Linked DNA regions of Anolis sagrei. The protein of the gene in region 4 interacts with the protein of the main gene of each other region in a pairwise test. Links are inferred from orthologs where the notes say so. Each region holds a gene or a part of one and is shown on either strand. Other genes may lie near its edges.

The links.
Region 1: the proteins of PRR13 (region 4) and LGALS3 interact in binary tests that used the Homo sapiens proteins (3 or more experiments, as listed by UniProt). The two-hybrid records come from large-scale screens. The link is inferred for Anolis sagrei from reciprocal best matches to the Homo sapiens genes PRR13 and LGALS3.
Region 2: the proteins of PRR13 (region 4) and ZCCHC10 interact in binary tests that used the Homo sapiens proteins (3 or more experiments, as listed by UniProt). The two-hybrid records come from large-scale screens. The link is inferred for Anolis sagrei from reciprocal best matches to the Homo sapiens genes PRR13 and ZCCHC10.
Region 3: the proteins of PRR13 (region 4) and SREK1IP1 interact in binary tests that used the Homo sapiens proteins (3 or more experiments, as listed by UniProt). The link is inferred for Anolis sagrei from reciprocal best matches to the Homo sapiens genes PRR13 and SREK1IP1.

Annotation. Positions count from the first base shown.
Region 1 is NC_090021.1:336,975,605-336,982,981, reverse strand, and holds the start of LGALS3 (galectin-3), read left to right. Parts: upstream 1-4,369; 5' UTR 4,370-4,478; intron 4,479-7,377. UniProt on the Homo sapiens protein: Galactose-specific lectin which binds IgE. May mediate with the alpha-3, beta-1 integrin the stimulation by CSPG4 of endothelial cells migration.
Region 2 is NC_090022.1:95,250,950-95,258,551, reverse strand, and holds the start of ZCCHC10 (zinc finger CCHC domain-containing protein 10), read left to right. Parts: upstream 1-4,582; 5' UTR 4,583-4,615; coding exon 4,616-4,656; intron 4,657-7,602.
Region 3 is NC_090022.1:268,457,870-268,465,081, forward strand, and holds the start of SREK1IP1 (protein SREK1IP1), read left to right. Parts: upstream 1-4,206; 5' UTR 4,207-4,245; intron 4,246-4,355; 5' UTR 4,356-4,475; coding exon 4,476-4,488; intron 4,489-7,212. Other genes in the region: spliceosome-associated protein CWC27 homolog, read right to left, coding at 2,829-2,870. UniProt on the Homo sapiens protein: Possible splicing regulator involved in the control of cellular survival.
Region 4 is NC_090022.1:190,607,803-190,614,763, reverse strand, and holds the start of PRR13 (proline-rich protein 13), read left to right. Parts: upstream 1-3,953; 5' UTR 3,954-4,064; intron 4,065-6,961. UniProt on the Homo sapiens protein: Negatively regulates TSP1 expression at the level of transcription. This down-regulation was shown to reduce taxane-induced apoptosis.

The DNA.
Region 1 (7,377 bases), on a different chromosome or scaffold from region 4:
ATCACATGGTTTCCTTGGCTAGAATTGTTTGAAATCTGGTTGCCTTTGCTGTCTTCTGAGGCGGAGAGAGTGCACTGCATCATAGTGAACCTGAGCATGTACGAAGTGCCATTTCCACCACCATAGACAGACCGAGCCATTTGCAATTGTTGTGAGCCTTCAAAACATTTCCAACCTATAATGATCTGATTGCAGGATTTTCATGGCAAGAGCATTCTGAACACTACCAACAATAGAATTTGGCCAAACTTCCTACACAGAACCTCCATGACCAACAGAAAATACTGTGTTTTCTGGTGGTCTTTGGTGACCCCTCTGACACCCCCTCGTGACCCCTCCAGGGGTCCTGACCCCCAGGTTGAGAAACACTGATCTATATAAATAAATTAATGAACATTATGGCAAAATTCATTCACAAAACCTGAGAGTCTATCTTTCCTCTTGCAGGGATCTGGCCATTTGACAGATTACCAGCCCAAACTAGGATAAGGGAGGGTTTCCTTTGATATGAAACCCTAAGGCAGCACTATTAGGAAGTTTTCTTAGCAAGAATATGTCAGAAGCTTTTCCTTGCCACAAATCCTGAGAGCTTATCCCTCCTCTTGCAGGGATTTGGCCATTGATCGATAATGAGCCAGGGATTTGGCCATTGATTGATAATGGAGTCTGGGTTCTCAACCCGAAAAAGATCGCATTCTTTCAGAATTAGCAGATTGAAAACTGGGGAAGACTCCTCTTGCTTCCCTGCTTTTGGGGACTTCTGTACCTTTAATGCAGTCCTGGGCAAGCTTGGGCCCTCCAGGTGTTTTTGGACTTCAACTCCCACAATTCCTAACAGCCGCTGGGCTGTTAGGAACTGTGGGAGTTGAAGTCCAAAACACCTGGAGGGCCCAAGCTTGCCCAGGCCTGCTATAGAGTTAGAAGTTCTTCCTAAGGTTCTTAAAAGCAAACTAGTCCAATGTGGACGAGGCAATTCTATTAGGAAGTTTTCTTAGCAAGAATAGATCAGAAGCCTTTCGTTTCCACAAATCCTGAGAGCTTATCTCTCCTCTTGCAGGGATTTGGCAATTGATTGATAATGAGCCACAACCAGAGGGCAAAGAGGGTTCCTTTGCACCAAACCATAAGTGAGTTTTCGTGGCAAGATTGGCTCCAAAGTCTTTCCTTGTCACAAAACCTAAGAACTTACCTTTCCTCTTGCAGGGATCTGCCCAGCCACAACCAGGATCATAGGCTCATTTGATGCCAAACTCTAAAGCATGGGATTGTTTTGGAAGAATTGGTTCCGAAGTCTTTTCCTTGTCATAAAACCTGAGAGCTTACCTTTCCTCTTACAGTGTTTTTCCATTAATGGTCTAACAATAAAACCTTGGTGGGACAGAGGTCCTTTTATGTCAAAATTTAAGATTTTCTTGCTTCCAAAGTCTTATCTTGTTCTAAAGCCAGGATGCTTACCTCTCCTCTTGCAGGGATCTGGCCATTGATGGCTGATCGATCAACCTCTTTGGTGCCAAACCTTAAACTATGGAATTTTCTTGGCAAAATTGGTTCCAAAGTCTTCCCTCGGTCACAAATCCTGAGCTTTTCCTTATAGCAAAACCTGAGTTCTTTCTTTTCCTCTTGCAAGGATCTGGCCATTGATGGCTGATCGATCAACCCCAAAAGCATGGGATTTTCTTGGCAAAATTGGTTCCAAAGCCTTCTTTCGGTCACAAATCCTAAGAGTGTTTCCTTATAGCAAAACCTGAGTGCTTTCTTTTCCTCTTGCAGGGATCTGGCGCTTAATAGGTGATCAGCCATAATTTGGGAAACAGTGGGGTATCCTTTAGTGCCAAACCTGAAGGTGATACTTTTTCTTGTCACAAAGCTGAAAGCTTATCTTTCATCTTGCAGGGATCTGGCTAAATTGATAGCTCATAAATCAAACCATGGGGTTTTTTTTGGGGGGGGGGGTACTTTGGTGCTCAAGGCAGCATTTTCATGGCAAGATTGGCTCAGAAGCCTTTCCATGCCAAAAAGCCTGAGTGTTTACCTTTCATCTTTCAAGCATTTGAGTACTGAGGAATCTTTGGTAACAAACTCAACAGTGCTTTTATTGGCCACTATGGCCACATCATGAGGAGTCAGCAAAGCCTAGAGAAGACAATTATGCTGGGGAAAGTGGAAGGCAAAAGGAAGAGGGGCTGATCAAGGGCAAGATGGATGGATGGCACCCTTGAAGTGACTGGACTGACCTTGAAGGAGCTGGGGTTGGTGACGGCCGACAGGGAGCTCTGGCGTGGGCTGGTCCATGAGGTCACAAAGAGTCGGAGACGACTGAACGAATGAACAACATGGTTCAGAAGGAAATCCTTGTCATAAAACTGGAGCGTTTGCAGGGTTAGATCATTAATCGCAACCAGAGGGAGTGGGTCTTTTGGTGCAAAACCCTATCAAGATGTGACATGTTACGAAGCCTGAAGACTTATCTTTCCTGTTGGAGGGATCTGGCTAATGGATAGATCAACACAATTTATCCAAATTTATAGATAGATGAATCTGTCAGGGTTGGCTTGATGCACCTTCCTCTTGGCCTGTTTCTCCTTTTCGCTCTCCATTCATGCCTCTTCGAATTCTGCAGCACTACTGGTCACAGCTGACCTCCAGTTATAGCGCTCAATTCGAAGAATTCGAAAAGGCACGAATGAAGGACGAAAGGGAGAAACGTGCCAAGAGGAAGGCACGTCAAGCCAACTCTGACTGGGACTGCCTTCCATCTGGAAACTGATGTCCTCGCTGCATAAGAACATGCGTATCAGGAATAGGGCTCCACAGCCACCTATGGACCCACCACCAAGACACTCCACTTGGAGGACCATCATCCTCGGGCTACGAGGGATCGCCTAACTAATTAAGAAAGACATTAATTATAGAAAAGCTATAGCCAAATGTGCTTACAGCAAGATGTCCCTCCTGCAGAGAACAAAGTTTTGGCAATTTAATAAACTTTGTCCATGTTTTTAAGGATAGAACCAATTAGGAAATGATATTAATAGCCCAGTAACAAATATTGTGTTGTATAAGTGTCACCAGCCACAAGCAGAGGGAAGTTTGTTTTGGTGCCAAACTTGAGATTTCCTGGGAAGAATGGGTGCAGAAAAAAGCCTTTCCTTGTCACAAAGCCTGAAGGCTTACCTTTCCCCTTGCAGGGATCTAGCCATAAGGTGGTTCAAAGGCAAAGAGGGTCCCTTGGGTGCCAGGCATTGGAGGGAGGCCACCTTACCCCTCATTCTCCTTGAGACATCCCAGGGAGAAAGGGTTCAGAAAGAAGCCTTTCCTTGCCGCAAAGCCTGAAGGCTTACCTTTCCCCTTGCAGGGATCTAACCATTGAGTGGTCCAAAGGCAGAGGGGAGACCCTTTAGTACCAGGCATTGGAGGGAGGCCACCTTACCCCCTCATTGTCCTTGAGATTTCCTGGGGAGAAAGGGTTCAGAAAGAAGTCTTTCCTTGTCGCAAAGCCTGAAGGCTTACCTTTCCCCTTGCAGGGATCTAACCATTGAGTGGTTCAAAGGCAGAGGTGAGACCCTTTAGTACCAGGCATTGGAGGGAGGCCACCTTACCCCCTCATTTTCCTCGAGATTTCCTGGGGAGAAAGGGTTCAGGAGGAAGCCTTTCCTTGTCTCAAAACCTGAAGGCTTACATTTCCGCTTGCAGGGATCTAACCATAAGGTAGTTCAAAATCAGAGGGGAGACCCCTTGGTACCAGGCACTGGAGGGAGGCCACCTTACCCTCCCCTCCCTCATTCTCTTTGAGATTTCCTGCTAAGAAAGGTTTCAGAAAGAAGCCTTTCCTTGTCGCGAAGCCTGAAGGCTTACTTTTCTCCTTGCAGGGATTTAGCCATAAGGTGGTTCAAAGGCAAAGGAGGTCCCTTAGGTGCCAGGCATTGGAGGGAGGCCACCTTACCCCCTCATTCTCCTTGAGACTTCCTGGGGAGAAAGTATTCAGAAAGAAGTTTTTCCTTGTCGCAAAGCCTAAATGCTTACCTTTCCCCTTGCAAGGATCTAACCATTGAGTGGTTCAAAGGCAGAGGGGAGACCCTTTAGTACCAGGCATTGGAGGGAGGCCACTTTAGCCCCTCATTCTCCTTGAGATTTCCTGGGAAGAAAGGTTTCAGAAAGCAGCCCCTCCTTGTCTCAAAGCCTGAAGGCTTACCTTTCCCCTTGCAGGGATCTAACCACTGAGTGGTTCAAAGGCAGAGGGGAGACCCCTTGATACCAGGCACTGAAGGGAGGCCACCTTACCCCCTCGTTCTCCTTTTCCTCCCCTGCATCTGAGTGAGCACCTCCTCCTTGGGTGGGGCGGTCCCGCGTGGGGCGGTCTCGGGTGGGGCTTGGCTATTTGAGCGCCTCCAGCCTTTCCCTGTTGCTTCAGCCCGTCTTTGGCGACCGAGGAGAACTCTTCGTCCACTAGTGACAGACACCCAGGTAGACCCACCCAGGTAAGGAGCCAAGGAGGGAATGGGGTGGCTTCTTGGCCTCTGGGTTCTCAACCCGAAAAAGGTCGCATTCTTTCAGATTGAAAACTTGGGAAAATCTCCTCTTGCTTCCCTACTTTTAGGGACTTTTGTACCTTTAATGCAGGCGTGGGCAAGCTTGGGCCCTCCAGGTGTTTTGGACTTCAACTCCCACAATTCCTAACAGCCGGTAGGCTGTTAGGAATTGTGGGAGTTGAAGTCCAAAACACCTGGAGGGCCCAAGCTTGCCCAGGCTTGCATTAAAGGTACAGAAGTCCCTAAAAGTAAAGGAAGCAAGTGGAGTCTTGGCTCCTAAGCCTTTCCTTGTCACAAAACCTAAGAACCTAGCTTTCCTCTTGCAAGGATCTGCCCATCCACAACCAGGATAATAGGCTCATTTGATGCCAAACCCTAAAGCATGGGATTGTTTTGGAAGAATTGGTTAAGAAGCCACAAAACCTGAGAGCTTACCTTTCCTCTTACGGTGTTTTTCCATTAATGGTCTATCAATAAAACCATGGTGGGACAGAGGTCCTTTTATGTCAAAATTTAAGATTTTCCTGGTTCCGAAGTCTTATCTCGTCCTAAAGCCAGGGTGCTTACCTTTCCTCTTGCAGGGATCTGGCCATTGATAGCCGATTGATCAACCCCTTTGGTGCCAAACCCTAAAGCATGGAATTTTCTTGGCAAACTTGGTTCAAACGTCTTTCCTTGGTCACAAATCCTGAGAGCGTTTCCATATAGCAAAACCTGAGTGGTTTCTTTTCCTCTTGCAGGGATCTGGCACTTAATAGGTGATCAGCCATAATTTGGGAAACGGTGGGGTATCCTTTAGTGCCAAACCTGGTAATACCATTCCTTGTCACAAAGTTGAAAGCTTATCTTTCATCATGCAGGGATCTGGCCAAATTGATAGTTCGATCGACTCCTTTAGTGCCAAACCCTAAAGCATGGAATTTTCTTGGCAAACTTGGTTCAAACGTCTTTCCTCGGTCACAAATCCTGAGAGCGTTTCCATATAGCAAAACCTGAGTGCTTTCTTTTCCTCTTGCAGGGATCTGGCGCTTGACAGGTGATTGGCCATAATTTGGGGAAAGGGTGGGGTGTCCTTTAGTGCCAAACCTGAAGGTGATACTTTTCCTTGTCACAAAGCTGAAAGCTTATCTTTCATCTTGCAGGGATCTGGCTATTGATGGCTGTTCAATCAACCCCTTTGGTGCCAAACCCTAAAAGCATGGGATTTTCTTGGCAAACTTCGTTCAAAAGTCTTTCCTTGGTCACAAATCCTGAGAGCGTTTCCTTATAGCAAAACCTAAGTGCTTTCTTTTCCTCTTGCAGGGATCTGGCACTTGACAGGTGATCGGCCATAATTTGGGGAAAGGGTGGGGTGTCCTTTAGTGCCAAACCCGAAGATGATACTTTTTCTTATCACAAAGGTGAAAGCTTATCTTTCATCATGCAGGGATGTGGCCAAATTGGTAGTTCATAAATCAAATCATGGTTTTCCTCTTGAAGGGATCTGACGCTTGACAGGTGGTCGGCCATAATTTGGGGGAAAGGGTGGGGTATCCTTTAGTGCCAAACCCAAAGGTGATACTTTTCCTTATCACAAAGCCAAAAGCTTATCTTTCATCTTGCAGGGATCTGGTCAAATTGGTAGTTCGTAAATCAAATCATCGTTTTCCTCTTGCAGAGATCTGGTGCTTGACAGGTGGTTGGCCATAATTTGGGGAAAGAGTGCGGTATCCTTTAGTGCCAAACGCAAAGGTGATACTTTTTCTTGTCACAAAGCCAAAAGCTTATCTTTCATCATGCAGGAATCTGGCACTTGACAGGTGATCAGCCATAATTTGGGGAAAGGGTGGGGTATCCTTTAGTGCCAAACCCAAAGATGATACTTTTCCTTGTCATGAAGCTGAAAGCTTATCTTTCATCTTGCAGGGATCTGGCCAAATTGGTAGCTCATAAATTAAATCATCGTGGGGCGTGGGGGGGGGGGGGATCCTTGGTGCTTAAGGTGGTATTTTCATGGCAAGATTGGCTCAGAAGCCTTTCCGTGAATCTTATTTCCTGCTTTTAAACCCATTGCAAGCTTGCTAATTCCTCCTCAATGGGATTTCCCTTCCAATATTTAAACCTGGCTCTCGTGCTTCCCTTTCACGCTTCCCTTTCTTCAAGGTAAACCTATCCAACACCCTAATAAGCCCCTTGTCATTGGGATTCATAGTTTCCACACCTTGTTGGTCATCTTTCTCCTTGTTAAATATTTAAAACTGGGGAGAGTTCCTTTTTCCATTCATGTCTGTGCAGAAGAGGAAATATTCCCTTTCCCATGCTTTTAAATTAGACTAATACATAAACACATAGATAAAAACCAATATATACATATGTCCATAAACAGATTTTCCACCAATACATACATTGCTATATACATTCCTGCCATTTACATACACATAAAAACCCCAGTGATTGGTTCACCTTAAGGGAAGTCATGGTATTTTGCCTTGGTCAGGCCACACCTGGAATCACACTATGTCCAATTCTGGGCACCATTGACTATAAGCTGGGATGTGTCCAGAGGAGGGTGGCACAAAAATCAAGGGTCTGGAAAACAAGCCCTACGAGGAGCGGCTTAAAGAGCTGGGCATGTTTAGCCTGCATAAGAGAAGACTCAGAGGAGACATGATGAGGGCCAGGCATAAATAGGCGAGGGGAAGTCATAGGGAGGAAAGAGCAAGCTTATTTTCTGCTGCCCTGAAGACTAGGACACAATGGAAAAATGGCTTCAGACTACAGGAAAGGAGAGCCCACCTGAACAAGAGGAAGAACTCCCTAACTATAAGGAGAGCTGTTCAGCAGTGGAACTCTCTGCCCTGGAGTGTGG
Region 2 (7,602 bases), about 95 Mb from region 4:
TGAAGGCGGTCCTGGTCAGGGTTGGCTTGATGCGCCTTTCTCTTGTCACATTTCTCTCTTTCGCCCTCCATTCATGCCTCTTCAAATTCTACAGCACTGCTGGTCGTATGCTTCTGCGAAGGTGTTTAGAGTGGCTTGTAGGTCTTCTTCTGAATGCGCACAGACAACATTGTCATCAGCATACTGGAGTTCTATAATAGATGTTGTTGAAACCTTGGTTTGTGCCACCCAGTCCAACTCCATCCTGCTATGCAGGAAAAACGCAATCAAAACACCCCCTACAGATGGCCATCCAGTCTCTGTTTAAAAGCCTCTAAGGAAGAGCTTCCACCACACTCTTAATGTTCAGGTTGAATAACCCTTCCTGTGATTTTATGCCTGAGGCTGTTAGGAATTGTGGGAGTTGAAGTCCAAAACACCAGGATGACCGAAGTTTGCCCATGCAGCATTTTCTCCTGGCATTTCACTTGCATCTATGGCTGGCACCTTCAGAGGACAATTATTATGATTGCTATTATTATTATTATTATTATTATTAAAAACACAACAAGATGAGTCCACAGCAGACACTCTGCTGGCTGGTGTATTGGATCACACGTTGGACACTTCCCAAGTGTCTAGGAGTGTGTGATGTATTGGCGTATAATGCGTGCAGATCCCAGTAAGGTGTCCTTCTGCAGCTGGCAGATGATAATTTTGTCAGCGCCGATTGTGTTTAAGTGCAGGCCAAGGTCTTTAGGCACTGCACCCAATGTGCGGATCACCACTGGGACCACCTTTACTGGCTTGTGTCAGAGTCTTTGCAGTTCGATCTTTAAATCCTCATATTGTGCCAGCTCTTCCAGTTAATTCTTTTCAAACCAGCTGTCACCTGGGAATGCAACATCGGTGATCCATACTTTGTTTTTTAACACGATCGTGAGTTCAGGAGTATTGTGCTCCAAAACTCTGTCTGTCTGAATTCGGAAGTCCCAGAGGAGTTTGACGTGTTCATTCTCTGTAACTTTTTCTGGCTTGTGATCCCACCAGTTCTTTGTTGCAGGCAGATGGTATTTGTGGCACAAATTCCAATTAATCATCTGAGCAATGGTATTATGCCTCTGCTTGTAGTCTGTTGGCACGATCTTATTGAAGCAGCTGAGGATGTGATCTATTGTTTCATCTGCTTCCTTGAAGAGTCTACATTTGGAATCTTAATATTAATACTATTATTTGAAACACAACAAGATGAGTCCAAAGCAGACACTCTGCTGGCTGTTGTATTGGATCACACGTCGGACACTTCCCAAGTGTCTAGGATTGTGTGATGTATCGGCGAATAATGCATGCAGATCCCAGTACGATGGCCTTCTACAGCTGGTAGCAGGTAATTTTGTCAGCGCCAATTGTGTTTAAGTGCAGGCCAAGGTCTTTAGGCACTGCACCCAGTGTGCGGATCACCATTGGGACCACCTTTACTGCCTTGTGCCTGAGTCATTATTATTATTATTATTATTATTACTCAGTTCTTGTGGGTTTTTTCGGGCTATATGGCCATGTTCTAGAGGCATTTCTCCTGACGTTTCGCCTGCATCTATGGCAAGCATCCTCAGAGGTCTGCTGGAGCTGGGGTAAAGGGGTTTATATATCTGTGGAATGACCAGGGTGAGACAAAAGGCTTTTGTAAGTTGGGCTAGGTGTGAATCTTTTCAACTGACCACCTTGATTAGCATACAATGGGCTGACAGTGCCTGGAGCAAACTCTTCTTGAAAGGTGATTAGATGTCCCTGCCTGTTTTTCTCTCTGCTGTTTTAATTTTAGAATTTTTTAATACTGGTAGCCAGATTTTGTTCATTTTCATGGTTTCTTCCTTTCTGTTGAAATTGTCCACATGTTTGTGGATTTCAATGGCTTCTCTGTGTAGTCTGACATGGTGGTTGTGAGAGTGGTCCAGCATTTTTGTGTTCTCAAATAAAATGCTGTGTCCAGGTTGGTTCATCAGGTGCTCTGCTATGGCTGACTTCTCTGGTTGAAGTAGTCTGCAGTGCCTTTCATGTTCCTTGATGCGTGTTTGGGCGCTGCGTTTGGTGGTCCCTATGTAGACTTGTCCACAGCTGCATGGTATACGGTAGACTCCTGCAGAGGTGAGAGGATCCCTCTTGTCCTTTGCTGAACGTAGCATTTGTTGGATTTTCCTGGTGGGTTTGTAGATTGTTTGTATGTTGTGTTTCCTCATCAGCTTCCCTATGCGATCAGTGGTTCCCTTGATGTATGGCAGGAACACTTTTCCTCTGGGTGGATCTTCATCTTTACTCTTGTGGCTTGTTCTTGGTCTTGCAGCTCTTCTGATGTCTGAGGTGGAGTATCCATTGGCCTGGAGAGCCCAGTTGAGGTGGTTCAGTTCATCTTGGAGGAGGTGGGGTTCACAGATTCTTTTTGCACGGTCTGCCAAGGCTTTAATGGTGCTTCTTTTTTGACTTGGGTGATGGTTGGAGTTTTTATGTAGATATCTATCTGTGTGTGTGGGTTTTCTGTAAACGGTGTGACCCAATTGTTGATCAGGTTTGCGGATGACTAGGACATCTAGAAAAGGCAGTCTTCCTTCCTTTTCTTTTTCCATGGTGAACTGGATGTTAGGGTGGATGCTGTTAAGATGTTCCAGGAACCTGTTGAGTTCTTCATCTCCATGGCTCCAAATGGTGAAAGTGTCATCCACATATCTGAACCATATAGTGGGCTTTTTGGTTGCTGTTTCAAGAGCTTGTTTTTCAAATTGTTCCATGTAGAAGTTAGCTATGACTGGGCTGAGAGGGACAATGAATTCTACGAACAGAAAGATGGAGTAGCTATGGGGAGCCCTCTCAGCCCAGTCATAGCTAACTTCTACATGGAACAATTTGAAAAACAAGCTCTTGAAACAGCAACCAAAAAGCCCACTATATGGTTCAGATATGTGGATGACACTTTCACCATTTGGAGCCATGGAGAAAAAGAACTCAACAGGTTCCTGGAACATCTTAATAGCATCCACCCTAACATCCAGTTCACTATGGAAAAAGAAAAGGAAGGAAGACTGCCTTTTCTAGATGTCCTAGTCATCCGCAAACCAGATCAACAATTGGGTCACACCGTTTACAGAAAACCCACACACACAGATAGATATCTACATAAAAACTCCAACCATCACCCAAGTCAAAAAAGAAGCACCATTAAAGCCTTGGCAGACCGTGCAAAAAGAATCTGTGAACCCCACCTCCTCCAAGATGAACTGAACCACCTCAACTGGGCTCTACAGGCCAATGGATACTCCACCTCAGACATCAGAAGAGCTGCAAGACCAAGAACAAGCCACAAGAGTAAAGATGAAGATCCACCCAGAGGAAAAGTGTTCCTGCCATACATCAAGGGAACCACTGATCGCATAGGGAAGCTGATGAGGAAACACAACATACAAACAATCTACAAACCCACCAGGAAAATCCAACAAATGCTACGTTCAGCAAAGGACAAGAGGGATCCTCTCACCTCTGCAGGAGTCTACCGTATACCATGCAGCTGTGGACAAGTCTACATAGGGACCACCAAACGCAGCGCCCAAACAAGAATCCAGGAACATGAAAGGCACTGCAGACTACTTCAACCAGAGAAGTCAGCCATAGCAGAGCACCTGATGAACCAACCTGGACACAGCATTTTATTTGAGAACACAAAAATGCTGGACCACTCTCACAACCACCATGTCAGACTACACAGAGAAGCCATTGAAATCCACAAACATGTGGACAATTTCAACAGAAAGGAAGAAACCATGAAAATGAACAAAATCTGGCTACCAGTATTAAAAAATTCTAAAATTAAAACAGCAGAGAGAAAAACAGGCAGGGACATCTAATCACCTTTCAAGAAGAGTTTGCTCCAGGCACTGTCAGCCCATTGTATGCTAATCAAGGTGGTCAGTTGAAAAGATTCACACCTAGCCCAACTTACAAAAGCCTTTTGTCTCACCCTGGTCACTCCACAGATATATAAACCCCTTTATCCCAGCTCCAGCAGACCTCTGAGGATGCTTGCCATAGATGCAGGCGAAACGTCAGGAGAAATGCCTCTAGAACATGGCCATATAGCCCGAAAAAACCCACAAGAACTGAGTGATTCCGGCCATGAAAGCCTTCGACAATACATTATTATTACTATTACTATTGCTACTATTATTCCTGTAAGGTGGCCTTCTGCAGCTGTCAGATGGTAATTTTGTCAGCGTTGATTGTGTTTAAGTGCAGGCCAAGGTCTTTAGGCACTGCACCCAGTGTGTGGATCACCACTGGGCCCATCTTTACTGGCTTGTGCCAGTCATCATCATCATCATCATCATCATTATTATTATTATTACTATTGTTACTATTATTCCTGGTGGGTTGCCTCAATCAAGAAAACCCTGGCTTTGAGTCTGCAAGACCTGAGCAGGGCTGCTGATCATGGGAGAGCACATTTGAGGAAGGATAGTGGTTTGGAGACAAGGCAGGGCTGTGGGATTCTGGAGGTTGTAGTGTGAGAAGAGCCCTGCCCCATTCCTCCCTCCCCGTAGGCCTCCTCCTCCTCTTCCTCTTCCGGGGGGCGGGGCCAGCGGCGGCCAAGATGGCGACCCCCATGCATCGCCTCATCGCTCGGCGGCAAGCGTGAGTGGGCGAGGGGCGAGGGCGGGAGCGAGAAGCCACCTGTCCTGGGTCCGCTTTGCCTTCTTTGGTAGTCGTCGTGGCTTCGAGGGGCTTCTGTTTCTGTAAAGAGCAGAGGCTGAGGTTTCCTATGGTATATCTGCGAGGCCCCCCTTTCCCCCTCTCCTCCTCCTCCTCCTCCTCCTCCTCCTCCTCCTCCTCCTCCTCCTCCTCCTCACAGAGAAGGGGCTTCTACTCAGGCAAGGGCAAACCGGCTGCTAGGAATTGTGGGAGCTGAAGTCCAAAACACCTCCCATGCCTGATCTACACTGTGGAACAGACATTCACAAACTTAGGCCCTCCCTCCAAGGATCTTGGATTTCAACTCTCACCATTCCTAACAGCCTCAGCCCCCTTCCTTTTCCATATATCCCAGTTCAAAGCTAAAAATGTGGGATTTTATTCAGCTGTGTGGAAGGGGCCTCCATCCTGAGCCTCTTCAAACTACGAATCTCGGAATTCCTCAGCCTTGGGATTTGTAGTTTGAAGAAGCTCAGGGCGGAGACCCCTTCCACACAGCTGAATAAAATCCCACATTTTTAGCTTTGAACTGGGATATATGGCAGTGTGGACTCAGATAACCCAGTTCAAAGCAAACATTGTGGAACTTTCTGCCTTGATATTTAGGGTTATATGGCTGTGTGGAAGGGCCTGGAATCATAGAGTGATTCCCTTGCACTCAGCCAAGGCAGTTCAAGGGGGTCAAGGGGTGTTCGGGACCTAGGGTTGAGGCACCTTTAAGCAGGGGCCGAAAACCAACAGCGTTTGGGCAAAAGTATGATAGCTGGGACCTAATACTGGTTGCGCAACGCGGGTCAGGGAGCCCCTGGTGACGCAGTGGGTTAAACCCCTATGCCGGCAGGACTGAAGGCCGACAGGTCGCAGTTCGAATCTGGGGAGAGGCAGATGAGCTCCCTCTATCAGCTCCAGCTCCTCATGCGGGGACATGAGAGAAGCCTCCCACAAGGATGATAAAACATCAAATCATCCGGGCATCCCCTGGGCAGCTTCCTTGCAGACGGCCAATTCTCTCACACCAGAAGCGACTTGCAGTTTCTCAGGTTGCTCCTGACACGACAAAAAACAACAACAACAAAACGTGGGTCAGAATTAGAGAAGCGAAGATGTGCGGGAGACAGCGTTAATTTTATAGCACGCTTCATCCACATGTAATTAAGTTAAGTTTGAGTGATAGTGAAGGATGGTAAAGTTAGCAATAGTTAAGTTTATAGCACACACCAGCGTCTCTCACTTGCTGTGCAAGTGTAATTCTGACCCGCATTGCGCAACCAGCATTGGATCCCAGCTATCATACTTTTGCTTATGTGCCTGAGGGGGAAAAGGAAAGGGCCTGAGGCTTTCAGGAATGGTGGGAGTTTAAGTCCAAAACCCCTGGAGGGAGGGCCCAAGTTTGCCCATGCCTGCTGTAGAATGAATTCAGTTTGACCCCATTTCAAATGCCATGGTTCCATGTCATGGAATTATAGGAGCTGTAGTTTAACAACAACAACAACAACAACTACTACTACTACTACTACTTTATTTTTAACCCGCCCCCTCTCTCCAAAGTGACTTAAGGTGGCTTCCAAAAACAAAGATGGCAAACATTCAATGCCATGGGCAATTACAACATAAAACAGAAACAAAACAAACAAAACCAGTTAAAAATAAGCAAACAAAACAACCTTGATTAAAACATAAAACCAACCGGCATCATAAACAACAGAGTAGGCAGTTAAAATCTGTATAAAAATATGAGAATATGGCTCTCCAATAAGTTAAGGTAATGTAATCACCGTCAGCATCATCAGGCGGGGTAGAATGAATAATAAACTAATTATCTTCCTCTCTATAAGCTAATGTGCATTCTGGCCTGTATGGCCATATTCCAGAAGCATTCTCTCATATCTCTGTGTGTCTTGGAACAGTTTCTCCCAGTAGAGATGTTCAATATGTTGTCTAAGGCTTTTAATTGTTTCTTAAAGGAGAGGAGTAAAGTTTTTAATTGTTTCTTAAAGTGAGAAGTGAAGAGGCTGTTCTGATTTCCATTGGGAGGGAGTTCCAGAGGGAAGGGGCTGAGAAAGCCCCCCCTCTCGTTCCCACCAGCTGCACTTGAGATGGGGGTGAGACTGAGAGGAGGGTCCCCTCCGATGATCACAGTGTCTGAGCAGGTTTGTAAACAGGGATGCGGTTTGTCAAGTAGTCTGAGCCCAAATGGTTTAGGACAGTGGTTCTCAACCTGTGGTTTCCTAGATGTTTTGGCCTTCAACTCCTAGAAATACTAACAACTGGTAAATAGGCTGGGATTTCTGGGAGTTCTAGGCCAAAACACCTAGGTACCCACAGGTTGAGAACCACTGGTTCAGGGCTTTGTAGGTTGTATTTAGCCCAGAAGTGAACCGGTAGCCAGTGGAGCTGCCATAACATGGGAGTTGTCCGTTCCCTGGGCGGTGCTCTGGTTAGTAATCAGGCTGCCGATCTCTGAATCAGTTGAAGCTTCCGAACTATCTTTAAAGGCAGCCCCACATAGAGAGCATTGCAGTAGTCCAAGCGATATGCAACTAAAGCGTGGACAACCGTAGCCAGATCTGGTGCCACACTGGATGAAGTCTTCACCCTGGGATAGTGACTTCTTTGCTTTTGAGTGGTTCATTGTACACAAAATCATATACCTATGAGTGCATCTTTTTCAAATCCTCTTACAAAAAGATAGTAACACCCACATAGGTGGCTAAGATATTGACACTGGCCTTTTGGCGTTTCGGTATAGACATATGCAACATTATTGAAAATATTGGATAAAAACACCATCGGGTTATGTGTAAAAATGTATATGTAGATAATGAGACATCTAAGAGATGAGACACAAATGTGTAGAATTGTGCTTCATCTCTTAGATGTCTCATTATC
Region 3 (7,212 bases), about 78 Mb from region 4:
TGATGGAGTTTCCTTCTCTGGAGATTTTTAAGCAGAAGCGGGATGGCCATCCGTTGGGGGTACTTTGATTGTGCTTCTCTTACATGCCACAATGGGGTTGGACAGGATGGTCCTTGGGTTCTATTCCTACTCTACAATTCTATGTAACCAGGCACATCTGCCCTCCTGCTTGTTGCTTCCCACAAAACATGCAATGGTCACATATGGGAGGCTTCAGGAACAGTCAGTTAATCTGGAGAGCATTTCATAAAAACTTGATGCACTCAGTTATGTCTTTGTGTTATCCCTAACAAAGGGGTTTAGTGCACCTGAACCAGGTAAGAACACTGAATAGGAGATCAGAAACATTTTTTTTAGCTGCAGTGAAAAATGTGTCTGGGTTCCAAGTCCATAAAACAGGCATGGGCAAACTTCGGCCTTCCAAGATCAAATGGGATCTGGTGCCGACTGTTAGGAATTATGGGAGTTGAAGTCCAAAACACCTGGAGGGCCCATATTGGCCCTTGCCTGCCATAAAACATACACAGACCCCGTTTAATAACGAAGAATAAACCATTTACACATTTCTGAATGTACATTACAAACCGTAACTTGATGCATCAGATACATCCCATTTCTTGTCACATCTGCACTTGACAGGCCACATAGGCACATCCAATGATGCCTTTTATTTAATTAAGTGCTCGGAGTAATTAAATCCAGCATTCACTACTCTGACTAAATAAAATGTACATCCAATTTGCTTATTCCCCACACTGTTGAAATGACATCCTTCTTCAAGCCTTCTCTAGTAATGTTTATCTATTATCCCGTTGCTTACTCTTTATATGTATGTTCTGGTATGCAGCTTCCTTTGCTCTATGGTTCTTAAGAAGTTATAAAAGGGGCTGTAGACCCCATGAGCTATAGCAGACTGCAGACAGACAGACTATTGCAGACTACAGGCCACATGATCATAGCAGATTACTACAGACTGCTGATAGCAAACTTCAGACCTCAGATCACACACCTGTTGTTTTGCTATAAGAAGTGTTCTGGCCAGATAGTACAGAGAATTATCTCAAACATATCTGAAACTGGACTGATAAGTTTTGCACCTGTGTATGCTGAACACATGAAGGTTGTGAGTAAACCAAATATGTTATTTTTATCCAAGTCTACTTAATCTTTGTCTCTTGAGTGTATGATATAAAACAAGTTGGGTTGCTGTGAGTTTTCCAGGCTGTATGGCCATGATCAAGAAGCATTCTCTACTGATGTTTCGCCCATCTCTATGGCAAGCATCCTCAGAGGTTTTGAGGTATATTGGAAACTAAGCAAGGGAGGTTTATATATCTGTGGAATGTCCAGGGTGGGAGAAAGAACTCTTGTCTGTTGCAGGCAAGTGTGAATGTTGCAGTTAATCACCTTGATTAGCATCGCAAATCTTCGCAGCTTCAAGGGCTGGCTGATTCCTGCCTAGGGGAATCCTTTGTTGGGAGGTGTTAGCTGATTGTTCTTTCTCCCACCCTGGACCTTTCACAAATATATAAACCTCCCTTGTTTGTTTCCAATATACCTCACAACCTCTGAGGATGCTTGTCGTAGATGCGGGTGAAACAACAGGAGAGAATGCTTCTGGAACATGGCCATACAGCCCGGATAACTCACAGCAACCCAGTATTTCCGTCCATGAAAGCCTTCGATAATACATAAAACAAGTTGTTTTATGGGGGGAGTATATTTTTGGGCACTGAAAAACACTTCTGAAGCACTGCTGTTGGAAAAAGTATGATAGCTGGGACCCTATGGTACGGTACTTGTGCAATGCGGGTCAGAATGAACGATGGGAAGACGTGCACAACGTGGGTCAGAATTAATGAAGGGGGGGGGGCACAACAAACAGCCAAGCATAGTGCTTAAGGCGAGTGAAGTAATGTTAGACTTATTTACTGTGAAATGATAAACAATGGTTTACGAAGAAGATAAACGGGACAGAAATGTTTCCTCTCCCCCTTTCTGGCAAACAATGTTCCCACAACTTCTTTGGAGGTTTTTAAACAGAGGCTGGATGGCCATCTGTCAGGGGTGCTTTGAATGCAATATTCCTGCTTCTTGGCAGAGGGTTGGACTGGATGGCCCATGAGGTCTCTTCCAACTCTATGATTCTATGACTCTGTCGCAGTTGCGTCTCTCACTCGCTGCGCTGTCATGCGCACGTGTTTCCCTCATTAAGTCATGCCCGCATTGCACAACCAGCGTAGGATCCCAGCTGTCATACTTTTGCCCTGCTGTTTATTTATGCACTGGCAAAATCTGTTTTCTAACAGATCAGCGATAACAGGTTATTCAGTCTAACAACTGAAACTGATTACCTTGCATAATTATATCTGGTTGTATACCACAAGAGAAGAGTCTACACTAAAGCGTTTTTGACTCTTCTCTGAAAGGTCATGCTTTTCTTAAAAAGTTACGATCTCCAAATGACGTTTTCCAAAATGTTATGAATGCCCTTTTCCAAAAACTCCACACAAACATAAGCTGGCATGGCAAGAAACAAAATGTAGATTAAAAATTAACATCAAAGACCAACAGCTTTGCTATTAGGCTGCATCTACACTGTCGAATTAATGCAGTTTGACACCACTTCAACTGCCATGGCCCAGTGCTATGGAATGGTGGGAGTTGTCGTTTGGCATCAGCACTCTTTGGCAGGGAAGGGCAAAGACCTTGTAAAACTACCAGGATTCCATAGCATTGAGCCATGGCAGTTCAAAGCGGGTTCAAACCGCGTTAATTCCGCAGCGTAGACGCACCCCAGCTCTTCCTCTCCCGAAATGGGCCCTCACCTTGCCGTTGGTGGGCGGCTCTTGGATGTAGATGTTGCTCATGGCGCTGCCTTCGGCCCAGTCCTTTGACAGGGAAGAAAACACGGAAGGAAAGCGCTTTCGCTTCGGTTTAAGCAAAGCTCCAGGGCAAACCTCCCGCCATCTTGGAAAGCGGGCGCGACCACTTCGGCAACGGGGGGGAGAGAAGAGAGAGAGCAACGCTGAAGGAAAGCCAAGTCTCCAAACCTTGTTATTGGAACCTGGCTCGGCGTCTCACAATATGTAACTTGTTAAGGCAGTGGATGGGAGGATATGGATCGAATCCGTATCAGTACTTATCTCATAACTCGGGAGGCCTCCCCCATTGGATATTGGAACAGTCCAAAGTGCGTTACCTAAAGTCTTCCGACTGAACACCGCCACCCGAAACTTTCTATCCGCCTCGGAGCAGTGAGCTGTAGATTGAGCCCGGCTGGTGTAATGATGACATAGGGAAGGAGTGGGCGGAAAGAATGGGTCGCGCGTGCGGTGTAATTGGTTGAGCTTTGTTCAATGTCTCTGGAGACGAGGCACAAACTAAAGTCTTCTTTGACTCAAATGTATAACACTTTTCTACTCCTTCAGGCAACAAACTTTGCTGCGCTCCTATTGGTCCGAATAGTGAATAGTGAAAAGACCAAGGCAGTGACATCTCTGGCCCATCCCCTGTTTGGGTATCAGCCAGCACGCCAACGACTTAAATCTAGACATAGTTTTCTTAGATCTACAGAGACACTCGCTGGAACACCTCAGCAAGTGAGAGTCCAAAAGTGGCAGGCTCAAACCCAGCACTTCAACCAATGGCTGATACCAAATGAGAGACTCCCTCCTGGGCACACAGAAGACTGGGCGACTTGGAAAGCGCTGAACAGACTGCGCTCTGGCACCACGAGATGCAGAGCCAACCTTCAGAAATGGGGCTACAAAGTGGAATCCTCGACATGCGAGTGCAGAGAAGAGCAAACCACTGACCACCTGCTGCAATGCAACCTGAGCCCTGCCACATGCACAATGGAGGACCTTCTTGCAGCAACACCAGAGGCACTCCAAGTGGCCAGATACTGGTCAAAGGACATTTAAGCAACTACCAAACTCACACATTTTGTATTTTCTCTGTTTGTTTGCTTTGTTCTGTTAGAAATGTAATATAATTGACTGGATACCAGGTCTGCAAACTTTGTGTTTTGTTTGTTTGTTTGATTGATTTTAACGCAATACAACTGTTTTGGTTCACTCCTGGCAGGATAAATAAATAAATTCAACAAGCCCGCCTTCTTTCGTTGGGATTGGTTCATGGGAAGGGGAACATTCCATTACCAGACTAGGGGGGGAGTGTCCAAAGGAAGAAAGGAGTTAGAGTTGAATGACTCCGCGGTGAAAAAAGAGAAGGGACTGTGAAGTAAGCCATAATGCTTTAAAACATAGTTGAATACTGGCTGCCTAAGAGTCTCCCCTCTTCTATGTAAGTAAATATTTCTCCCTTCTTTCTCCCCCCCCCCTCCATTGCAGATGGTGGTAAAGCCCTCAGTGCTCTGGTCCCAGATTTCCGGCGGGGAAGCGTCGCTCTCGGGAAGTTGTTCCTGGAAGAGAAAGGACCCTGGGTTGAGCTCAGGCTGCTAGAGTTGCTGCATGGCGCTGCCAGGTGAGCTCTTCATATGCAACAAGCCACGTGTTGATAGTTAATTCTGTTACTCAGATTAGAGATGGAAGGAAACAGAGAAGAGATGGGAATGTGTCCAGAGGAGGGCGACTAAAGTGATCAAAGGTCTGGAGAACAAGCCCTATGAGGAGCGGCTTAAGGAGCTGGGCATGTTTAGCATTCAAAAGAGAAGGCTAAGAGGAGACATGATAGCCAAGTGAGAGGAAGCCACAGGGAGGAAAGAGCAAGCTTGTAGATTAGAGATGAAAGGAAACAGAGAAGAGATGGGAATGTGTCCAGAGGAGGGTGACTAAAATGATCAAAGGTCTGGAGAACAAGCCCTATGAGGAGCGGCTTAAAGAGCTGGGCATGTTTAGCCTGAAGAAGTGAAGGTTGGGAGAGGAGACATGATAGCCATGTATAAATATGTGAAAGGAAGTCATAGGGAGGAGGGAGCAAGCTTGTTTTCTGCTTCCCTGGAGACTAGGATGCGGAACAATGGCTTCAAACTACAAGAAGGGAGATTCCATCTGAACATGAGGAAGAACTTCCTGACTGTTCAGCAGTGGAACTCTCTGCCCCGGAGTGTGGTGGAGGCTCCTTCTTTGGAGGCTTTTAAACAGAGGCTGGATGGCCATCTGTCGGGGGTGCTTTGAATGCAATTGTCCTGCTTCTTGGCAGGGGGTTGGACTGGATGGCCCATGAGGTCTCTTCCAACTACGATTCTATGGTTCTATAATGGGATAAACCCTTGTGCCAGCAGGACTGCTGACCAAGCGGTCAGTGGTTTGAATCCGGGGAGAGCGGGTTTAGCTCCCTCTGTTAGCTCCCTTGCAGAGACATGAGAGAAGCCTCCCACGAGGATGGTAAAACATTAAACATCTGGGCTTCCCCTGGAGAACGTCCTTGCAGATGGCTAATTCTCTTGCACCAGAAGTGACTTGCAGTTTCTCAAGTCGCTCCTGACACACACACACACACACAAATCCTGAGTTCGATAAAATGTGGATTATTTTCCATTCATTACAAATACAGCAGGCTATCAGTTAACCTGCACCCATCAGATGGAGTTTTTGTTTGCTTGAGAGTTACAGTGAAAAATATGCCTCATGCTATACCATATCATAAACTCTGTATTGACTTGATATTAATGTTAAAATACAGTAACTGAAAGCAAATTAAGACACACACAGTTTTACTGTATTCTAAATACAGCTTTGTGAATGAATGATTAATTCTTTGATTTTAGTTTTGCTGGTTGCTTGAGAGTCTGCTGTACATGGATCTGCAATGCAGTGTTACTTTTATTATAAGTGGAAAGAAATGCATCATATACAGTTGGACCGCTTCTCCCATCATCCATTACCATGGCTTACACTAGTGAGGGTTGGTGAGAGTCCAGCATCATTTGCAGGACTACATGTCCCATACTCTGTCTGAAATGCATTTATTTATTCGCTTCATTTATACCCCACCTTTCTCACTCCATTGGGCGACTAAGGCGGCTTACAGCCCCGGCAAAATTCAGTGCTGCTTGAAACACGGCCATAAAACAAATTCAATCAACTAAACAATTAAAACAGTTAAGCAAATAAATGCATTCACTAATAATAAAGTTAAAAACATATAAAGTGCATAGTAAGTAAAGGTAAAGGTTTTTCCCTGACATTAAATCCAGTTGTGTCCGACTCTGGGGTGTGGTGCCTATCTCCATTTCTAAGCTGATGAGCCGGCGTTGTCCATAGACACCTCCAAGGTCATGTGGCAGGCATGACTGCATGGAATGCCATTACCTTCCCACCGGAGCGGTACCTATTGATCTACTCACATTTGCATGTTTTCAAACTGCTAGGTGGACAGGAGCTGGAGCTGACAGCAGAAGCTCACACCGCTGCCCGGATTAAAATCTGCTACCTTTCAATCAACACGCTCAGCAGCTCAGCGCTTTAGCCCACTGTGCCACCATAGTACCATTCATGAAATGCATTACATTAAACAGTGCACCTGGTTATTTATTTATCGTGTCATCAGCAACCATACCATGTGAAACTAATTGAAATATATTATGTTGCTGTGATAATGAAATTAGTGTGAATTTCTAATGATGTTGTCCTTTGTTTTACTAAAAATGTAGGCTTCTCTCTAAGTGTGAAGTGATTAAAATAAAGCAAAGGGTAAACCCAAAGTTAAGATACTCTAGTCTTCTGTATGCACTTCTTAAAAGAAGGAAACAAAAGGATTCATCCTTGGTTGTTGGAATGGCCTGAAAGATCATTGGTGTTTCTTCTGCCTGGAGTTTTTTTCAAAAAGTGTTTTTGTTTCTAAGATTAACATACCAACTTTAAATCAAATGAATCTTAAAAGAGTTATAGGTTACAGATAGAATCATAGGGTAGGAAGAGACCCCTGTGGTCATCTAGTCCAACCCCATGCCAAGCATGAATTCACAATCAAGCTCTCCCAAAAGATAATCATTCAGCCTCTGTTATTACACTTACACTGAATGAGACTCTGCCACCCTATGAGGTAGCATAATTCAGTGTTGAACAGCTGTTGTCATCAGGAATTTTTTCCTAAAAGTTTAGATGGATTATTTTTTCCTGTAGTTTGAACACCCTAACTCCCACCTTCCAAGTGTCACACAATTCATTCCTAGGATCAGCATGTTTCTCTTTTGTTCTGTATCCAGAAACTGTTGAAAATTGGAATGAAATGTTCTTTCTGGCA
Region 4 (6,961 bases):
GCTGCCTGCTGATAGCGATGCACTGACAGCCCCAATGCATTCTTGGGACTGATCGGCTTTATGGATAGCCAAAATGTTCCAGGATGCTACAAAGTTAGATTTATCTGGTTGATGTAGATACACTTCTAAATCTGGTCAGCCTCTCCAATCCTTTTCTGCACTATCTCTGTAACTTCACAGAGAGAAACAGACAGGAAACTTGATATGGCTGGAGGGTTTTTTGCTTTGTTTTTTTTTTTTTTTTTGGATAAACGTCATCCCCAACATGAAATTGGAAATTCACTTGCTAGCCCGAATTATAGCAAACCTATAGAGTTAACAGATCCAACTCACTCAATGGGTCTATCTGAGACTAATGACGTGAGTTAGGCAACCATTTTTATGGTTTGTGGATGGGGCTCATGATAGTTATATAATTTTCAAATAGGTTTAAATTTATATTGCGATTGTGCTCTTATTTTTGGACACCATGTAGCAAGGGAGCAACTAAAACCAAAAGATTTCCTGAGCTGTATCAAAGTCACAGCATCAGTGTTGCTAGAAATTCAAAGGTTTTTTTTTCCTGGGAAGCTAATTGAAAATCAGGAGCAAAGAGCCCGGGGTGGGTTTTTTTTAGCAGTAACCTTGATGGCGCAATGGCTTCCAGGTATTAATACAAATATAGTGCAAAGACGTATCTGAGTGACTTTGCAACATACAAATCTCTTTTCCAACAAGCCAAATATACTTCACAGACAAAAAAAAGAATGGCCCCATGCAAGCACTATGATTTGTCCATGACGACATAACACTTTCTTGAATTGTTACCGGAAGATGAACGACAGCCAGTGGAGCTCCTTAAACAGGACGATTGACTGCTCTCTGTAATTTGCCCCCGTTAGAATTCTGGCTGCCGAGCATTGAACCAATTGAATTTTCCGGGCTGTCTTCAAGGGAAGCCCCACGTAGAGTGCATTGCAATAGTCCAATCTAGAGGTAACTAAGGCGTGGACCATCATGGTAAAGTCAGACTTCGCAAGGTATGGTTGCAGCTGGCGCACGAGTTTTAATTGTGCAAAGGCCCTCCCAGCCACCACTGACACCTGCGCATCAAACATCAGTGCTGAGTCCAGGAGGACCCCCAAGCTGTGGATCTGCGCCTTCAGGGGGAGTGCAACCCCGTCCAGCACAGGTTGCCACCCAATACCCTGGTCAAGTATATTGGGTGTCTTGTCGGGATTGATCTTCAGCTTGTTTGCCCTCATCCAGGTTGATACAGCAGCCAGGCACTGGTCCAGCATCCGAGGGGCTTCCTTGGATTCGGTGGGAAAGAGTAGTGGAGCTGGGCGTCATCCGCATAGAGATGGCACCCAACTCCAAAACTCCGGATGACCTCTCCCAGTGGTTTCATATAGATGGTAAAAAGCATGGGAGACAGAATGGAGCCTTGCAAGACCCCACAGGTCAATGGCCAGGGGTCCGAGAAGGTGTCACCCAGTTTTACCATCTGGGAACGACCCTCCAGAAAGGACCGAAGCCACAGTAAAACCGTGCCCCCAAGTCCTATTCCGGAAAGCCGACCCAGAAGGATACTATGGTCGATGGTATCGAAAGCTGCTGAGATATCCAAGAGAATCAGCAGGGTCACACTCTCCCTGTCCAGTTCCCTGTGGAGGTCATCCACCAGAGTGACCAAAGCCATCTCGGTACTGTGCCTGGGTCTGAAACCAGACTGTGATCGATCTAGAAAATCGGTGTCATCTAGGAACCCCTGGAGCTGCGAGGCAACCACCCGCTCCAGCACTTTGCCCAAAAAAGGGAGGTTAGAAATTGGTCTGTAGTTATTCAGCATGGATGGGTCAAGGGAAGTCTTTTTCAGTAATTTTACCACTGTCTGCTTAAGGCAGGATGGGAATTTCCCATCCCAATGATGCATTGATGATGGAGATAAACCAGTCCAACAACCCACCCTTTGCCAATTTAACTAGCCAGGAAGGGCAAGGGTCCAGAGCACAAGTGGTTGCCCTCACAGCCCCCAGGATCCCGTCAATGTCATCAGGCAAAATAAGACAAAAAGAATCCCATAAGATCGGACAGACGGGAGCCTCGGTTACCTCATTTGGCATTGCATTTAAATTGGAGTCCAGCTCGAGACGTATCCGAGCGACTTTGCCTGCAAAATAGTGCGTGAAATCGCTGCACCGAGTTGCCGTGTCATCAGGGATGTCCTTCACCTCAGGTGGGTGGAGGGTGTCCCCAACAACCCAGAACAACTCTGATGGCCTATTGGCTGCAGACACTATGTGGGCAGTCGAGAAGGTTTTCTCGGCTGCCCGCCGAGCCGTGGAGTAAGCCCTAATAGTGTCTTTAGCCTGTGCTCGGTCAGAGATGTCATCCATTCTTTTTTATCACTATCCTGCTATATCATGTTGAACCCACACAATTTGTCAGATTTAAGCAGGACTGATTTCAGATAAATGGTTCTGCATTTCTTCCAAAACATTGTTGGTTTTTGAAGTCAACCTTGTAGAACAGGCATGCAGTCGTTCAACTTCTTTTAATTCTTGGTGGCACTCCTATTTCTCTCTCTCTCCCTCTGGTTTCGCTTGTTCCAATGCAAACTCTGCTAGTGTACTAAATAAATACCGTGTCCCTTTGTTCATCAGCTCCGCCTTTTGATATGGACTTTGTTTTCATAATAAGCCAGTCAGCCTGTTCAGGAGAAACGACACACCTGCTGCAAATCCCTACTTCAACACACAATAATATTGGGTTGCTGTAGGTTTTTTCGGGCTATATGGCCATGTTCTAGAGGCATTCTCTCCTGACATTTCGCCTGCATCTATGGCAAGCATCCTCTGAGGATGCTTGCCATAGATGCAGGCAAAACGTCAGGAGAGAATACCTCTAGAACATGGCCATATAGCCCGAAAAAACCTACAACAACCCAGTGAGTCCAGCCATGAAAGCCTTCGACAATACACAACAGTATTGCTTTATTTCTCTATTAATGCAGTTCCAAACCGATATTGAAGAAAGTGGTTTGGTTGTGTAGATGATTACATATAAAGTCCTAGAATGGGTTTGTAGCCCAGATGGTGATTATATAACAGACCAGTGATGCTCATGAAAGAATTTCTTTCAAGTCCTTTTGTGGAGTTTATTGCCTGATTGCTGCAGTTTGAAGCTAGCTTTTAAAAAGGTAAAAGTTTCCCCTGACATTAAGTCTAGTTGTATCCGACTCTAGCGGGTGATGCTCATCTCCATTTCTGGACCAAAGAGCCAGCGTTGTCCATAGACACCTCCAAGGTCATGTGGCCAGCATGGATACATGGAGCACTGTTACCTTTCCACAGAAGAAGTACCTATTGAGCTACTCACATTTACATGTTTTTGAACTGCTACATGGAGTGCTGTTACCTTTCTGCAGAAGCAGTACCTATTAAGCTACTCACATTTGCATGTTTTTGAACTGCTAGGTTGGCAGAAGCTGGGGCTAACAGCGGGAGCTCACTAAATGGCCTTAAATGGCCCTGCTTTCCAAAAGTGTAGTTCTGAAGCTTGAGAAACATCTACAAAACCCAACCACCCATAAAAGTTTAGGGGTGCATCTACATCGTGGAATTAACACAACTTGATACCAACTTAACTTCCATAGCTCAATGCTATGGAGTCCTGGGTGTTGTAGTTTGAGGAGGCCCCAAAACTTTTGATCAGAGAAGGCTAAAACCCTGTAAAACTATAAATCCCATAGCATTGAACCATGGCAATTTAATTTTTGCAGTGTTGATACAGCTTAACTTCTGTCTTAACCAAAGTCTCAGTCTGTATTTATCAACACAAAATCTATGACGTCTCCTTTACACACACCCCATTTCTCAGCTCTTTGAAGCATAACTGTTGATGGACATCTTCCTTAGCCTATAGGAAGAGGGCGTTGAGAGCCGCAAGCCAATGGGAATGAAAGAGGTGGAGATAGAATCAGGTTCCAGGAAGTGGAGGCTTCAGAGTTGCAGAGAGTGAAGAAGCAGGAACAGAAAGGGCTGAAGGGAGGCAGGTGGGTGCTCTTGTGATCAGGTGTAATTGTATGTATTACAGTATACACTTTTAATCAGACGTATATAAACTCTGGCTTTTGTATTGTTTTTCATTTGTATAGTTGAAAACATGTTGTTAGCCTCCTTGAGCCCTCCTGTATGGAGAAAGGAGGGAATATCAATGAGTATCATAATCATCACCATCAAATATCCTGTTTCTGTGTTGAAGACGCAGTGTCTCCCTGCACTGCCTGGCTTGTAACACGATTTTTGTCTCTGGGTTATAAATGTCATTTCCTAATTGACTCTATCATAAAAACATGAGGAAAGTTTATTTAAATGCAAAAACTTTGTTTATGGTGGACATCCTGCCGCACATTTTTGCTATAGCTTTTCAATGACTATTTCATCGAGTCCTAACCAATTGAACATAGTTTGTGGCAGCCACAAAAACAAAGTTTCTGGAGTATAACAACTACTTTCAAAGTAAGTACCGCACAATTAAACAGGAATTAATATTTGGTGTGGTGGAGGCTCCTTCTTTGGAGGCTTTTAAACAGTAGCTGGATGGCCATCTGTTGGGGATGCTTTGAATGTGATTTTCCTGCTTCTCGGCAGGGGGTTGGACTGGATAGCCCATGAGGTCTCTTCCAATTCTATGATTCTATGAAATCAGGAACAGGGGTAAAAATCAAATGTTGTTACATAGTGTTATTAAAGTGTGGCCCTTTTTGTTGTCGATTGCTTTTAAGTAAACTTTGGCTTATAGTGAACCTATGGGTGAGAGTCTTCCAGTAGCACTGAACAGTCGCTCTCACTGACTCAAGGCTTTGGCTTCCATAAGTGAACCTATCCATCTGTAGTGTGATCTTATTTTCCATCTGACTTCTAACTTACCAGTCAGTATTGTCTTATTTTCTGGTGAGCCATGTCCCCCCCCCCTTTTTTTTGGTCGTGTCAGGAGCTACTTGAGAAACTGCAAGTCGCTTCTGGTGTGAGAGAATTGGCCGTCTGCAAGGACGTTGCCCAGGGGACACCCTGATGTTTTGATGTTTTATCATTCTTGTGGGAGGCTTCTCTTGTGTCCCCGCAAGAGGAGCTGGAGCTGATAGAGGGAGCTCATATGCTCTCTCCCCAGATTCGGACCTGCGACCTGTTGGTCTTCAATCCTACCAGCACAGGGGTTGAACCCTCTGTGCCATTGGGGGCTCCATGTCATGACAGGGCTAAAATATGACAGCTTCAGTTTAGTTGTCTTGGGGCTCTTCCACACAGCCATATAACCCAGAATATCAAGGTAGACAATCCCATAATATCTGCTTTGAACTGGAATATATGGCACTGTGGACTCAGGGCCCTTTCATACAGCCGTATAACTCAGAATATCAAAGTAGACAATCCCCAATATCTGTTTTGAACTGGATTCTCTGAGTCCACCCTTCCATGTATCCCAGTCCAAAGCAGAAAATGTGGGATTTTATTCAGCGGTGTGGAAGGGGCCTTAGTTTCTAGGGAGCATTCAGTATTGAACTCTTCTGGGGAGGCCCTGCTCTCAATCCTGCCTCCTTTGCAGGTGCGACTGGTGGGGACAGGGCCTTCTCCGTGGTGGCTCCTTGGCTGTGGAACTCCCCAGCAACATTAGATCAGCCCCCTCCCTCCTGGCCTTCAGAAGGAAAGTGAAAATGTGGCTTTGAGATCAAGCCTTCGGAGAATAATTGTAATGTAATAATAGATACAGATTATGTGCAATGACTACTGGAATGGCCCCAGATTAATGATTGTCGATGGTATGGTTTTCAACAGTGAATAAAATGTTTTCTAAATGTTTTGATGTGCATTAGTTTATATTCATAATTTAAATGTTTATATTATTTGTATGTTTTAAAGCATTGAATAGTTGCCTATATGTAAAGCCGCCTTGAGTTCTCTTCGAGGTTGAGATATGCTCTTGGGCACCCATTTATGGTGCCCAAGAGCATATCTCAACCTCGAAGAGATTGAGATATGGGCACCCATTGATATGCTCTTGGGCACCCATTTATGGGACTTCTTAGCAGTCCACCATATCTGCAGAACTCTTCTCCAGCCCCACATTCAAATGGGTTTAATTTGCTGCTGTTACTTTTCTTCAATGTCCAGACTTTTCTCAGAGTGTTTGAATATGTTAGATAAGCAGATAAACTAAGAGAGACTGAGAGTACAGGTGCTGGTCAAGTGTTCTATGCTGAAGGATGCGTTTGTCTGGAATAAAGATGGAAAAAGTGAATGTTCCAGCAAGATTTGTTGCTTAATTCCACACATTTTGGGAGATCGGAGGGCCAATCTTAATTGTTCCTATTGTACAGATGGGAAAATTGAACTCTGAATATAAAAGGCATTTTCTGACAGCTCAGTTATGGATCTAGGATTTGAATCCAGCTTGTTGTCTTATATATTGGATGGTTGGATTATAGCTTGATTGCTATTTGCACTACAGTAGTATTACTGTACTACTAGTGCTATTTGCACTACAGTAGTATTACTACAGTAGTATTACAGTAGTATTACTGCTGCCGTTCATTTTCCGATCCCAATTCAAGGTGCAGGTGCTCACTTACAAAGCCCTAAACGGTTTGGGACCTGCCTACCTGCATGACCGCATCTCCGTTTACGAACCCGCACGTTCCCTTCAATCATCTGGAGAGGCTCTGCTCTCGATCCCACCTGCGTCGCAGGCGCGTTTGGTGGGAATGAGGGACAGGGCCTTCTCTGTGGTAGCCCCCCGACTCGGGAACTCTCTCCCCAAAGACATCAGACAAGCCCCAACGTTGGCTGTCTTTAGGAAGAGCCTGAAGACCTGGCTGTTTCAGTGTGCCTTTCCAGAATAGGAAACTCCTGGTTTCAAGTCCCAATTGCACTTTGCTAGAGACTCAGGATTATCTGCACATTGCACCTACCTCCATATA